2 linked regions of the Oryzias latipes genome follow. The protein of the gene in region 1 purifies or fractionates together with the protein of each later gene. This does not show direct contact. Links are inferred from orthologs where the notes say so. Each region holds a gene or a part of one and is shown on either strand. Other genes may lie near its edges.

The links. Proteins that work in one complex are often made in the same cells at the same time.
Region 2: the proteins of usp48 (region 1) and putative transcription factor p65 homolog purify together in Homo sapiens (affinity purification with mass spectrometry; 3 studies listed by BioGRID, with this or other methods). This does not show direct contact. The link is inferred for Oryzias latipes from reciprocal best matches to the Homo sapiens genes USP48 and RELA.

Annotation. Positions count from the first base shown.
Region 1 is NC_019863.2:19,935,515-19,941,986, forward strand, and holds the start of usp48 (ubiquitin carboxyl-terminal hydrolase 48), read right to left. Parts: upstream 3,655-6,472; 5' UTR 3,512-3,654; intron 3,118-3,511; 5' UTR 3,114-3,117; coding exon 2,980-3,113; intron 1,374-2,979; coding exon 1,253-1,373; intron 1,157-1,252; coding exon 1,015-1,156; intron 1-1,014.
Region 2 is NC_019876.2:27,223,836-27,230,231, reverse strand, and holds the end of putative transcription factor p65 homolog, read right to left. Parts: intron 5,105-6,396; coding exon 4,889-5,104; intron 4,811-4,888; coding exon 4,730-4,810; intron 4,645-4,729; coding exon 4,561-4,644; intron 3,073-4,560; coding exon 2,267-3,072; 3' UTR 1,675-2,266; downstream 1-1,674. Other genes in the region: UPF0696 protein C11orf68 homolog, read left to right, coding at 637-1,377; UPF0696 protein C11orf68 homolog, read left to right, coding at 1,374-1,377. UniProt on the Homo sapiens protein: NF-kappa-B is a pleiotropic transcription factor present in almost all cell types and is the endpoint of a series of signal transduction events that are initiated by a vast array of stimuli related to many biological processes such as inflammation, immunity, differentiation, cell growth, tumorigenesis and apoptosis.

The DNA of each region.
Region 1 (6,472 bases):
ATTACCGTATAAAATAATCTCAGCTAAACGTAGCCACCGAAAATGAATTAAATTAGTCAGAATTAAGTTGCCATTGAGATATACTCTGAAGATAGTTAATAACAACAGACGGTTATTAACCATGTCAAGTTAACAGTTCTGTTATATTTCTGTCTGTATAATTACAAATATTTAGTTTTTTGTAACTTTGTTGCCTTGTTTATTTGTTTTATTTATAGATTTCTAAAAGTCAGGAAAGTTCTTCATTAATCATCAGAAGTGACATTGACAAGTCTCAATAACAAACTGGTGACGATACATTCAGGGTAAAAACAAAAATAAGAAAACACCATTTAGCCTATTCACATGCACACAAAATGTTTCACTGTATATTTTTTTTCTTGAGCAACATGTGAACAGGACAAATTGCAGTCTATCAGATATCGGCCATTAGCCTGAAAGGAGCAGTCGGATTTTCATCAGCAAGAGACAGAAGACTCAGAGGAAGCTTAAAGTATTTAAGGCAATTGCTGTTTCCCTCTGGGAATTGCGTGCTGTTCAGTTTGGATGTACAACATCCCTACAAGAAAAGAAGAAGAAAATATCCATTTTGGTGGTTCTAGCTAATGCTAAGATTGTCAGCGCAACATTTAACAAGAACAGACTCGTGAAGTTTTAAAAACTAACAGAAAGTTTCCAACTTCTGTCATTGAATAGGGAAGTATGGCCTCTGTACTTTCCCATTGAACTTGGACTTATGAGGAACACAAATCAAGTTAATTTGCAAATTTATAAAAATTACTCCCAATCACCTGATTTTGGTAGGCTTGAAAATAATTGACTTTTTAAAATCCAAACTCTTCCTGTTTATTCCTAACAAGCTTCTTCTTTGAGCGTGAAACTTTTCTGCATGTGACTGTGATTATTGAACCAGAAATGCGGTCATCCAACATGCGCCCTGTGAGCGTTATAGACATCTACACCTGCAGTCTTAGCCGCTGCTGTTTGTCCTGGTGTGGACGTTTTTGAACGCACCTGTGTCCGTGTCGTGCTCCTGTGCTCGTGAATTGTGGCATTGATAGAGGATCCTCCGAAGCTCCAGGTTATGGAACCACACCTGCAGGAATGTGTTGACGTAACATGTTGCGCCAAGGTTGGTCAGTCCAACAAATGTGTTCTGGAGGGGGAAGTGTCAGACACGGGCAGAGGAAGTGAAGTGAAATCCAGACAGGATAATCAAATCCTACTTATTTGCAGAGGATTACAGACAGACCTTATCTCGCCGTTCAGAATTTGGATCATCGATGTTGTGGAACGTGTTCTCATCGATCTCCCCGAGCCAGGCTTGTTCACCAATACCCACGAGGCAGTTGGGATTTCCTTTGCAATTTCTTCTGTAAATGTAAACGCAGCTGATTAATTTCCTGTTTTCACAAAACTAACCTCTATCAGGCTTTTCATCCCTCGTCTGTCCCGGAGCCAACCGGACTAGCATCCTAAGAACAATTCAAACACAACCAGAATCAAAAGACCAATTCTGTCAAAGGTTGGTGAATCAAATAAACGTAGTAACTACCAGTTAAAGTGTAGCCTTAATGGTTCAGTCAGTTTCCAAGCCACTGTTCTGTCTGATAACAAAGACAAAAATCATGTAAAAAGAAACAAAAGGTATTATAATCTCTGTAAAACTAACACTTTATAAGAGCAAATGGGAATGAAGCAAACCTAACATCTGATAACTGACTCCATGCATGGAGACCAGTAGCACCAATGGAAACTACTTTCCTGCGGGGACAATGGCAGCTTTTTGAATGTTGGTTTGCTGAATCATCATAGCAAAGACATTTAAAAGAGCAGGAAGTTAACACAGACTGGGGCAAAATGCTCAGACTTGCTGTTGTTCAATTCACAGAGATCTGCATGACTCTACAGGAATGTGTGTTTAATCTGACGTGGCACTTTTTAGCTGTGCAAACAGCAGTGTTTGTGTCCAACAATTAGCCACATTGATGTCAAAATACACCGTTTGCCAAATTACAAAAACAAAAACACCATGGCTTAATTCAACCTGGAAAAACAAAAAATCAACATAGTATTTTTAATTAAAATTTATTTTAAATGCTGTTGGTAGGACTTTAAAATAATGCAGAATTACTCAGAAAGAAAGGAATCAAGAAATAACCCCGGTAATAAATGCTAATAAAACATTTTTTGTACATACATCATTAGTGATTACTTCTTTTATTTACTGTATTTATTGTTTCATGTACAATTCACTGAGTAAAATGTCTTTTTTTTTTAAAGAAATACTAAAAAAAATATATTATTTGGACTTTTTTTTAAAGAGTTTGTTCTGTGTTTATAAATATTTATTAATTTCAATTGAAACATTTTACAGGGTTGTGTTCTTAAAGAAAAGAGAAAACAAAAGGAACAAACACAAACTGAATAAAACACCATTTGGTATTAAAAATATTTAATCCTTTCATCACTCAGTAGTATGAAGGCAATGCTTTCCAGACCTCAAAAGTCTAAGTCAAAGCCAGTCAAGGCCAGCCCTTTCCATATTTCATTTACATTGAATTTTATTTTATTTTACTTAATATTTGATTTACAAGGATAAAAACAATATCATTTTGTTTCTAATTGATACTAACTTTACATTTTTAGTAACTTAATTTTGTTTTGTTTTTAGGCTGAATACATAAGATGCATTTTCTGTGTTTCCTAAGTAGGTAGAACAATAATTAATGAACAGCCCGGTAGTTCCTAGTAGTTACCTTCCCGTTTGTTGATCATTTGAAAACAATAATAAGTATAGTTTCCAAACTAAATGGTAATTAATACATAAAAAGCTAGCTTGACAATCTAAACAGTATGTTGTGCATTTCGTTGGAAACGGTTTTCCTTTTTTGGCAGACAGTAAAGTTCACACAACTGTTGACAAAATGACAAATGCACAGACAGACACATGATGAGCAGAGTATGAGTGCTGTGTACCTGCAGGCTCCTCTTTTGCAGGCCGGGAGGTTAATGCGATATGCTAACTCGATGTGCTCCTGTGTGATTTCTTCTGGTTTCACGTGTTCCACCCAGCGCCAAGCTGCCTTTTCCAATTGTACACGAGGCGCCATTATCCTGCAATTAAACGATCCCCAGTGTTTGTGCGCTTTTACGCAAATTGGTTAATAATCGGGCGGTTTTCCAAGGATGCTAACCCAATAAGCTAGCCGGAGCTAAGCTAGTTGCCTGGTTCTCAGAGGACAAAAGTACGGCTTCCTGGCCGAACCGGCAACCTTATATTGTGCTACGCTTTACAACACAAAGTCCAGTGAACAAACGCCTAATCCAAGCCTCAAGCGAAGCTCGTACCATTGTGATTCTCGAACAAGAACATCTTTATCAAACTCACAACTTAAGTCCCCCCGCTAAGGCTAAACTGCAGCTAGCCCGACCGGCTGAGCCTCTTCCTTTTACCGCGAATTGACGACAAAATGTGAATTTATTGTGTTAAAAACAAATATGCTCGAACCTTTCATGAGTGCCGCCACTTTATCCACACACTTGTGTAATTTGGCATTTTTGTACAGCTTGTTTTAGATTTAGCGCGCTTGCGTCAATTTATAAATACATAATTTCTGCGCTCAAAATCAACACGACGTCAGACAATGACGCAGCAACGTACGCCGTTTTTTCCCCTTCCAATAACTTTATTTGTTTGTTTGTTTTTACACACAAACATGTCTGTTAACAAATACAAAAGGGGGGGGAAAGAATAATTTATAAAAGAAACAAATACGAACTAAATATTTAAAACTTTCCATACCTCTTAAAGCCAAAGAAGTCCACTTTAAAACGTTTTTAGGTTTCTGATTTCCAATGAATTGCTCAGAAAACGGTTTGGAATTCCTGAAAATTGTTGTTCTTTTTGTAATGAGGACATTGAAACAACTGAGCGTTTATTCTTTGAACGTTTTTACTCTAATGCCTCCTGGAACAATGCACATTATTGGCTTTTCCTCAAGAGTCCATGTTTAGCAGATTTTTCTATTCAGGACATAATTTTGGGGTTTTATATTAGAAAACATAAACACAGAAATGGTTTTAAAAGTTATAATTTTCCAGGGTAAATACACAAATGCTGATTCCTTAAAATCAAACCATATTTTTTCACATTTCATAAAAACTCTGCTCTTATTTTTCATCTATAAACTTCATGGAATATAAACCTGCCGTGAAACTCCAAAGTATCATAAATAAATTACTGCTTTTTGATAACCCATAAGATTATGATCATTATAATGCCCATGTAACCCCTTTTTTATTTTAATCTTATTTAATGTAAGTTTGTATTTTTTGTGTTATCGTATATTCTTTTACTTAATTTTATAATTGTTGTTCATGTTTTTATGTGCCCATTCTAATTTTAATTTGATGAACACCTTGTACAACTGCCACACATATTGTAACCCCCAAGTTTTTCTTTTCAATTAAAAAAGAAAAAAATGTTACTTTTTTTTAAAGTCAACAGTCCATTATGTCTTAAATGTTTGTCTCAGGTTTAAAAAAGTGTTTTTTTCGTTGAAAAGCAATTGTAAACACAAATTGAATATGGTGGTACTCCGGCATATATTTGTATATATTGTATATATCATATATTGTCACTGCACAATTAAAACAGTACATTTCTAAACTCTCAACTGTAAATGCCTTGTGCAATGTTTGGTTAGTTTGTGACAGCTATTAAAATATGTAGAATTATATGTTTATGTTACATATTATTCTTTTGACTGATTAGACCTATCTTTACGTGGTAATGGACACAAAAGCAAATTTTCACAGCAAGATTTTCTTTCTTTTTTTTTACATGAAACATTGATATTCCGTTTCAGAATTACTAATCGACAACATAATGATATTTACAAAACTCACTCACAAATGTTTGGCCAATTTTTACACTCAACACAAAAATGCAGCAATTTATCAATGTGGAGACCTCAACTAAACAGTTTGTCTTATCAACGCTGTTTATAATGACAATCTCTCAATAATACAACTCCTCTTTCATTGATCGACTAGTCCTGTATTTTTACAATGTAATTTGTCTTTTTTTATTTAATGCACGTTGTAGTAATAATTTGTATTTATTTGATTAAATGTTTTGCTTCATGATTTGAGGTGGATCGTAAAAATCCTTTTTGAATGTTGTGTGACAAACAATATAGTTCTAAAAACCTATTGTGTAACACATTGACAAAGACCAAGTATAATGGATTAAAAGGCAATTAAAACCAGAATAAAACTAAATAAGAAAGGCATTATTATATGTACAAGATCCATATGATCTTTTTTTTAAAACGGAACCTCATAATAACCGACAAGACGAGTCTGTTTCCGTGTTACACCGCATGTCGCCATCTTCAAAACGGTCAAGCTTTATTGCGCATTTGAAGCTGTTCGCGAAGAAGTTTAAATAAAGACTTGGATTTTTGAATAAACCCAGGATTGTGTTCACGGAGCGGTTTAAATAAAGATTTGGATCGTAGTAATTTCAGGTAAAGTCGTTTTGAAGCAGCTATTAATGTGACTGCGCAGCTGGTTCCTGATTCGTATGTTCGTCGGTGGGGTTTGTTTTAAAAACATTGAATCAATTGGCGGGTTTCTCCCAGTTCTGTCCATGTTTAAATAGTTTATTGTTCTGTCCATGGAGGATTTGGTTCTGTCAAGGGACCTACTATGAGGAGACACACTGTGTCCTTCCACACACTTTTGTTAGGTACATTCAGAGAAGGCACATCGCTAATCAGTAGAGCCTAGGACATCTGTGTATGTTTTAGGTTAAATATTTTTCAATTTAACATTTACAGATAAAAGAAAAATTATCTACACATATAGAGCAATTCACATTGTTATTTTCTTGGAAGGCTGTTGTTATCATTAGGTCTGGGTTTAAGAATTCTATTTGTTTAGATGCAGCAATCAATGTTGTTCAATAAAGGCAAAGATTTGTTTATTTTCTTTTTTAAATTACCCCCAAATTAGTTTTTTAATTTGGGTAAAGCTCCAACATAGTTCATTCCAAATCTTTAGTCATGTAAAAGTGTTCATCAAAATCGATCAGAATCAAATGTGAAATACAAATTAGAAAAATAATCAATTTAAAATGAAATGGCAAATGAAAAGGAATCATGAATTTGTAAGTTATACACAATTGCCGTCTGAGTTGTTGAGTAGCTTTTGTTGATTCTGGGTGATCTCTACTTCTAGGTTAATTAATGAAGTGTGTCTCAGGAGAGGAAGTAAGTCCTTTTATCTGCAAATGATCACAAGATCATCTAATAATCTCTAAAGAAAAAGAAAATAGCGTTTTTATGAAAAGTGTTTGTCAATAATTTAATTAATAAGTTTAATAATACAGTTTAAAAAAATAAAGTTCCAGTATTGTTCTTCTTTAAAAACTAATGGTATTATAATACATTGTGACACATTGAAA
Region 2 (6,396 bases), on another chromosome or scaffold:
TCGCCATTCGTCAATGTGCGCAGATTTCTGTCGAGGGTTTCGGTTGACGGATCTTTACGTGAATTTGATTTTGAGCTGTTTAGAAGACCGCAATATCCGTAAGATCTGACCTCAACGGTTCTGCTATCGGTACTGGAGAAGTCGCATTTTTTATGTGTCCCGCAACATTTAAACTGGAGCTGTGACGGTGTGGGATTCTTGATCACCGCGCTGATGAAGCGGCAGGAGTCGCATGAACCACCGATGTATAACTTTTATATCCCGTCTACGGCGCACCTCTCACGGTAAAATTATATTATTTACGCACAAATCACTTATGAATTGCATATAAACAGCACAATAATCACACGGTTCATGTTGTGCATTGATTTACGTGTTCTTTGCGTGGTGTGTTTCAATTTCACTTAAAGACCACGACTTTCCTCACTTTTTCCACGTATGACCATTTTTATCTGAGCAATATGTACTTAAGGAACGTAGTGGGTGTGTGACACGGCCTTAAGATGCTGCTCCAAAGTTCAGCCTCTGTGTTGCATAAGTCTCCCTCACTCGTGCCGTCATGAACACAACTCCTGCTTTCTTTCAGCAGGGAGCTCCACACTCCTTGCTCGGTTCCAGTCTCATCTTTAAGGCATCATGGAGGAAGAAGAGGCCTCTGCCAACGGTGAAAGGGAGAACTTTGCATCAGATCACTATGCCGCCGAAGCCCTGGCTGCAGACATGGATCCCTGGATTATTTTTGACTGCAGAAAAACTCCCAAATCGGAGTTTGATGCCTGGCTGGAGAGTAACCGGCCCTCCCAAGTGCACAGGTTTGGTGACGAGAAGAGTGGCGTCGGCCCCGTGGGGTGGATCTCTGTGAGGGGCCCCGACTACCATCCCAGTGATGAGGACGTTGAAGATCTTCAGGAGAGCTGGGAGAAACTCCTGGCCAGTGGCAGACCTGTCACCTTCCAGACCGTGAAGGAGCTGGCCCTCAACCACAGAGTGCTCAGTGGGAAGTGGCTGATGCACCTGGACTCTGGTTTTAAACTGGACCACGCGTGGGAGTGTGTGGCCAGAGCAACCTTGGAGGGGAAGATCTGGTGCGCCAAAGTCAGCCCCTTGGACCCGAAAGGAGACAGTCGCCACGTCATATGTGTCTATAACAGAAACTTCACCGACGAGGAGGACGTCATGAAGCTGGACTCCGTCATTCGCTCCACGGGGATCAAGTGCCCGCTGTTCTACAAACCCGACGTTTACACCTACCTGGGAATCTACCGAAGGAACCGCTGGGAACTTAGCCCCACCATTTATGAGAGCAGGTTTGACCTGGAGTGCGTCCCCCGGCGTTCCCACATCCTCAACAAAGTCACCAACCTGGAACTGACATAGTCCAGTCCGGACGGGCAGCGCGTTTGGTGGGACTGACGCCTAAGAGTTCTGCTCCTGTTTACCGGGCCACGGAGCGGCATTTGCAGATGTTTTGATCTTCCTTTATTTTGCTTTTTTGGAAAGAAACCAATCTGTAATTCCAGCAGTATTTGATTTGCACTCATTTCTTGTGGTTGGAACAACCTACGGAGCTGGAAGGGTGACAGAAATCTGAACTTTGAGACGTTTTTGATAGTTTGAGAGAATTCGTTCTGTTTGAACCACGATCAGCCAAATAAAACACTTTTGAAGAATTCCTTTACATTCTGTCGATTTTATTGTGAAAAAAGGTTAGGCATAATGTCTGTGTGTGGAGGGGGGGGCTGCTGACCAAAAGCAAAACAGAAAAGTCGGTTCTTTGGACAGTAACCGTAGAAACACCAGGATAACAGAAGCAGGAACACGGACTGGTCTGCAAGCACATGTTCAACCTGTAAATATTTACATGTAGACCTTCATGTGGTTCTTTACACACGCAGACAAAACCTTCGGATGACACTTCAAACCAAAGGGACACTTGATAAAAAAAAAAGGGTATAATGCTAACATGCCAACATACCAGGCTGTTCATTTTTGGATTCAAAACCCCAAACTTCCTCTAAAAACAGCAGATAAACTTGTTCAGATACAGTACAAAAACCTGCCAAACACGTGTCAGCGAAGCGACGCCATCATCAGCTGATGAACACGCGCGGGTCGTCTTCCACATAATGGTTCTGTAATGATAAGGACATGATCTGAATCTGTGGTTGGGGGGTTTCTTTGTCCACAGTGAGCGGTCTTTCTGTTTCCCCTTGGCATCTTTTCAGTCCTGAAGGCAGAAAGCAGAAGTCTTTGGTGAAAGGGTCCTTTAGGTCTGGCGTCCCGCCACAAACTCGGCGTGATTTTCATTTTCGTAAATGGACATGAGGCGGTCGTCGTCGGCGGACAGCAGCTGGTAGTCGTCGGGTTCTGCGTAGCCGCTGTGGTGGTTGTTGAGGGGGGCGGCGTCCATCATGCCCTCGCTCTGCAGCAGGTTGACGATGCTGTTGGGGTAGTTCATCCAGGTGCTTCCTGGGTTGCCAGCAGGGTCCGAGGGGTTCTGGCCCGCTGTGGGATTCTGGGGAGGTGCGGTGGCGTGGGGCTGCTGGCCCGAACTTCCAATGGGAACGGCGCCACCCCCGCCCACGTTCAAAAGGTCCTCAAAGTCGTCCATGTTCAGGCTATCCAGGGTGATGGGGACCTGGCCCTCAGAGAAGCTGGGGAACTCTGGGAGGTCGTCTTCTGCGGGGTTTGTGGAGAACTGCGAGGCCTGGAGGGGGAAGGAGCTGCTGGCCTGAGGGGGCGCACTACTAGCTTGAGTGGCTTCTGCCTCCTGATTCATGGGGGACAAAATGTTGGGGAAGAACTCCTGAAGGTCTGCTATGTTGACTGTGGGGTATTGGTTGCTCGCCGTGGAGGCGCTGATGGTGGTGGAGGAGGAGGGAGCGGCTGATGAAGAACTCCCTGCGAAGGGGGTCTGTAAATCTTTCTTCAGAGTCTCCATAAATCTCCAGGGTTGGCTTGAAGTTGCGTCGGGGAGCTCCCTCTTGTGCGGCGCAGGGGCCTGGATCGGCTGAGTGAAGAGGAAAGGGGCCTGTGGTTTGGCTGCACTGGCACCAGGGGGCGTCTCGGTCCCTGAAAAACAAACAGTTTCAGTTCAACAGCTGCAATTCCACTCTATCCTTACATACAGGCAGGCGGCAACAGCCCCGCCCACAACTCAGAGGATCATTTCTAACAAACTCCTGCCGCGCTGCAGAAACTATGTCCTGGAGACGACCGCAGATGTTTAGATTTAGGCCAAAAACGTCATTAAAAGATTACTGTTAACACTTTGAAAATAGATAAAAACATGATCAGAGTGAAGCTTCAGTAATATTTGCAGTAACTAAAGTTAAGGAACAGTTATTGTCCAAGTTTTTGTGTTTTAAGACCAAGACTCAGCCAGAGCCGCAAAGTTCCACTACATGTTTAGAAAATGTGATTCATGTTTTTGTGGCCATCGAGGCATTCATTCATAAAATCTAGCTCGTAAATATTTACTATAATTGAATTATAACTGTGTTATGTTTTTCTATGTAGAAACAAATTTAAGATATTTTACTTTTGACAGCATTACGTACGTAAGTTCCTTTCAAAATAAAACATCCTGTGTCAAATGAGAGCCTCCTGCTACGGAAGATTTACTTGAAAAAAAATACAAGAAACCCAAGTAAAACCATTGACTGTATATGAGAACTGGACTGAGTGACCCCCCCCCAGCGTTCCAAACAGGAAGTACCTGCTAGTTCCAAGAAGCCAAAATAAGCAGTTGTTACTCAGTCATTCTATTGGTCAATAATTCTTGATATGATACATTTTTATAAACGTATTAATCTTTTTCAAATGATTTTTTTTCTGTAGTTATTCAAATTATAAAAGGACCAATCAGATGCCTCAATTAAAGTAGGTGGTGCCCTGTTGAAATTTCGAAACATTTGATTGACAGATTCTACTGAGTCTGCTTATAAGTCGTAGGGGTGTGGCCTTCGAACAATTTCACTCCTGATTGGTGAGAATAGTTGCAATAGAAACGTTGGCTCAGCTCGACTCGGACCAATCCAAAAAAAATATTAAATAAAAGGCGACTGAACTGACTTCATTTGGTTGGAGGCTGAAATAAACCATTTTCTATCAATGACATCACTCAGTCCATTTCTCAGATACAGTCGACAAGTCAAACATCTCCTCTTTTTTTGTCCTTTAGCTGTTTATTAAATATAAACATGACAACATTGGCGTAGAATCCGGATTTTCTGTAAAAATCTATGCATATAGATGCAATTCTTTGGTTCTGAATGACTGCATCTGAAGATCAGAGTAGGAGCTCTACACTCATTCTTATAATAAGCTACTCTGACAGTAGATGAAACCTTTAACCATCACAGGCTCGGTTACATGACTAAACTTCATTAAATAACCTATAATTTCTTCAAGCGATTAGCATTTTCTTGAAAGCCAAATTGTCCCAATAAAGGGTTGCAGACCCGTGTTATTTTGTTTTCAGTGGATTTTCCGTAAATAACAACATTCAAACCTTAAAGGAACAACATCAGATGCAAAATATTTAGGATCAAAACTCACCGGTTGACACATTCACAGAGGAAAGTTTAGGTGGGACTGTTCTCCTTGCAAAGTTCATTTGCCGCCGGTCTGATGGGATGGAAACTGAAACAACAGATGCCGTTTTTTTGGTCATAAACACTTTAACAAAAACCTTCAAAGAACAGCTAACAGTATCTAGTGAGCGTACCACTGGACAGCATCGACCCCAGCTTCAAGTTCTGGAATACATCTGCTGTCCGCTTTCTCTTCTCATTCAGCCGGTATTCATCTTTAGGAAGAGTGAAAGATTTCACATGAGGATGAATGCATGACATGTCCTAGGAAGGTAGAGATGTGTGCATCTTACCTGGGTCAGCTGGTAGGTACTGGAAGTCCACAGGCTCGCTCACTTCACGGTCAGACGGCCGCCGAAGCTGCATCTTCACCTTAACTGGCTCAACAAGGTTGGTGTCACGGTAGGGCGGCGTGCGGAAGACGATCGCCACCTGCCTGTGCACGTCCGCCTGGGAGAAGGTGCCCTTCCCCTCCCAGGAGTCCTGGAAGAAACGCACCTCGATGTCCTCTGCAGGGAGACGGGAACATGGGAGAACACCAAAGAATTGAGGAGTGTGCGGTGCTTTGACAAATCCCAGCTGGTCACAGAAAGACACCGCCGTCTCTGGAGTTTCGCTGGTAAACCAGCTTCCGTAGGGCAGCAGTCTGAAAAGCCGCCTGAATGCTTTCCTCACACGTGAAAAGGCGAATTTTCAAAGATCCAACTGTGCTGATGCACCAACGGCTTTAAGGCGACAGATTCCTGTGCTGACGAAACGTGAACGACATCAGTACCTGCAAAGCTGTGAGGTGCGAGGAAGATAAAGAAAACAAGGGCAGAGGACCAAGAGGTGGAAGTTGAGAAAGGAAAAGTGCTGTTTGGCTTTTAGGGAGGAGGTGACACATACTATGGGAGATCGGGAGGGTCATCTGCAGCTAAAGTGATCATGGAGCCAAGGAGGGTCCAGATGTGGACCGCCGGTGTAGGTACCATAACCGTTCGGCCTACAACAACCGTCAGGGGTCCTTCGAGTAGTGCTGAGGTCACATTATGTGATTGGCTGTCCGTTGGTCCGATGACGTTTTAGATAGTGATTGGTCTGGACAAATTATGACACTACCATAGAAAAAGACATTATGAAGTCCAGAGTAAGCAAACAGAGCTCCGACACAGAGCGGGGTTATCTTGTAAACGTGCTTTTATTATTGTTCTGATTATTATTAAGTCCATTTGTAGCCAAACGGCCTGCGTTCTGAACCCTTCTCCGGACCGAACACTCTAACAAAGCACCTTCCCCGCCTATGAACACGAAGCTACAAGACTCTGGCTGCTCTGATCAGAGACACGGTTCACTCTGTGGAGCAGCAGGTTCATTCTAACAGCCACAGATCTTCTTACAAAGTGGGTTGTGGCTAAATCTCTCTATAAACACTACAAACAATAATGTAGGACAGAACTTATGAAGGAAAATAACTTTACGTTGCAAAAAGAAACGTGAAATGAAAATATGTAGAGCCCGAGCAGATCTCCATGCTACATAGTTTGTCCAAGTGGGGCCACCGTAGTGTGACTGGAAGGACCCCGAACGGTAGTTGTAGGCCGAACAGTTATTGTATCTACACCGGAGAGAAGAGTCTGTTGGTCCGGATGTGGACCGCGGTCCGCCATTTGGTGATATCTGGTTAAGGGGCTCTGAGGCAGAGCTGGAGGCAGCAGAGATGAAGATGCTGAGGTTCTCTTTTGGAGTGGTCCGGGTGGATCTGGAATGACCATCAGAGGAACAGATCCTGGTTGTGGAGATCAATGCAGAGAAGCAGATG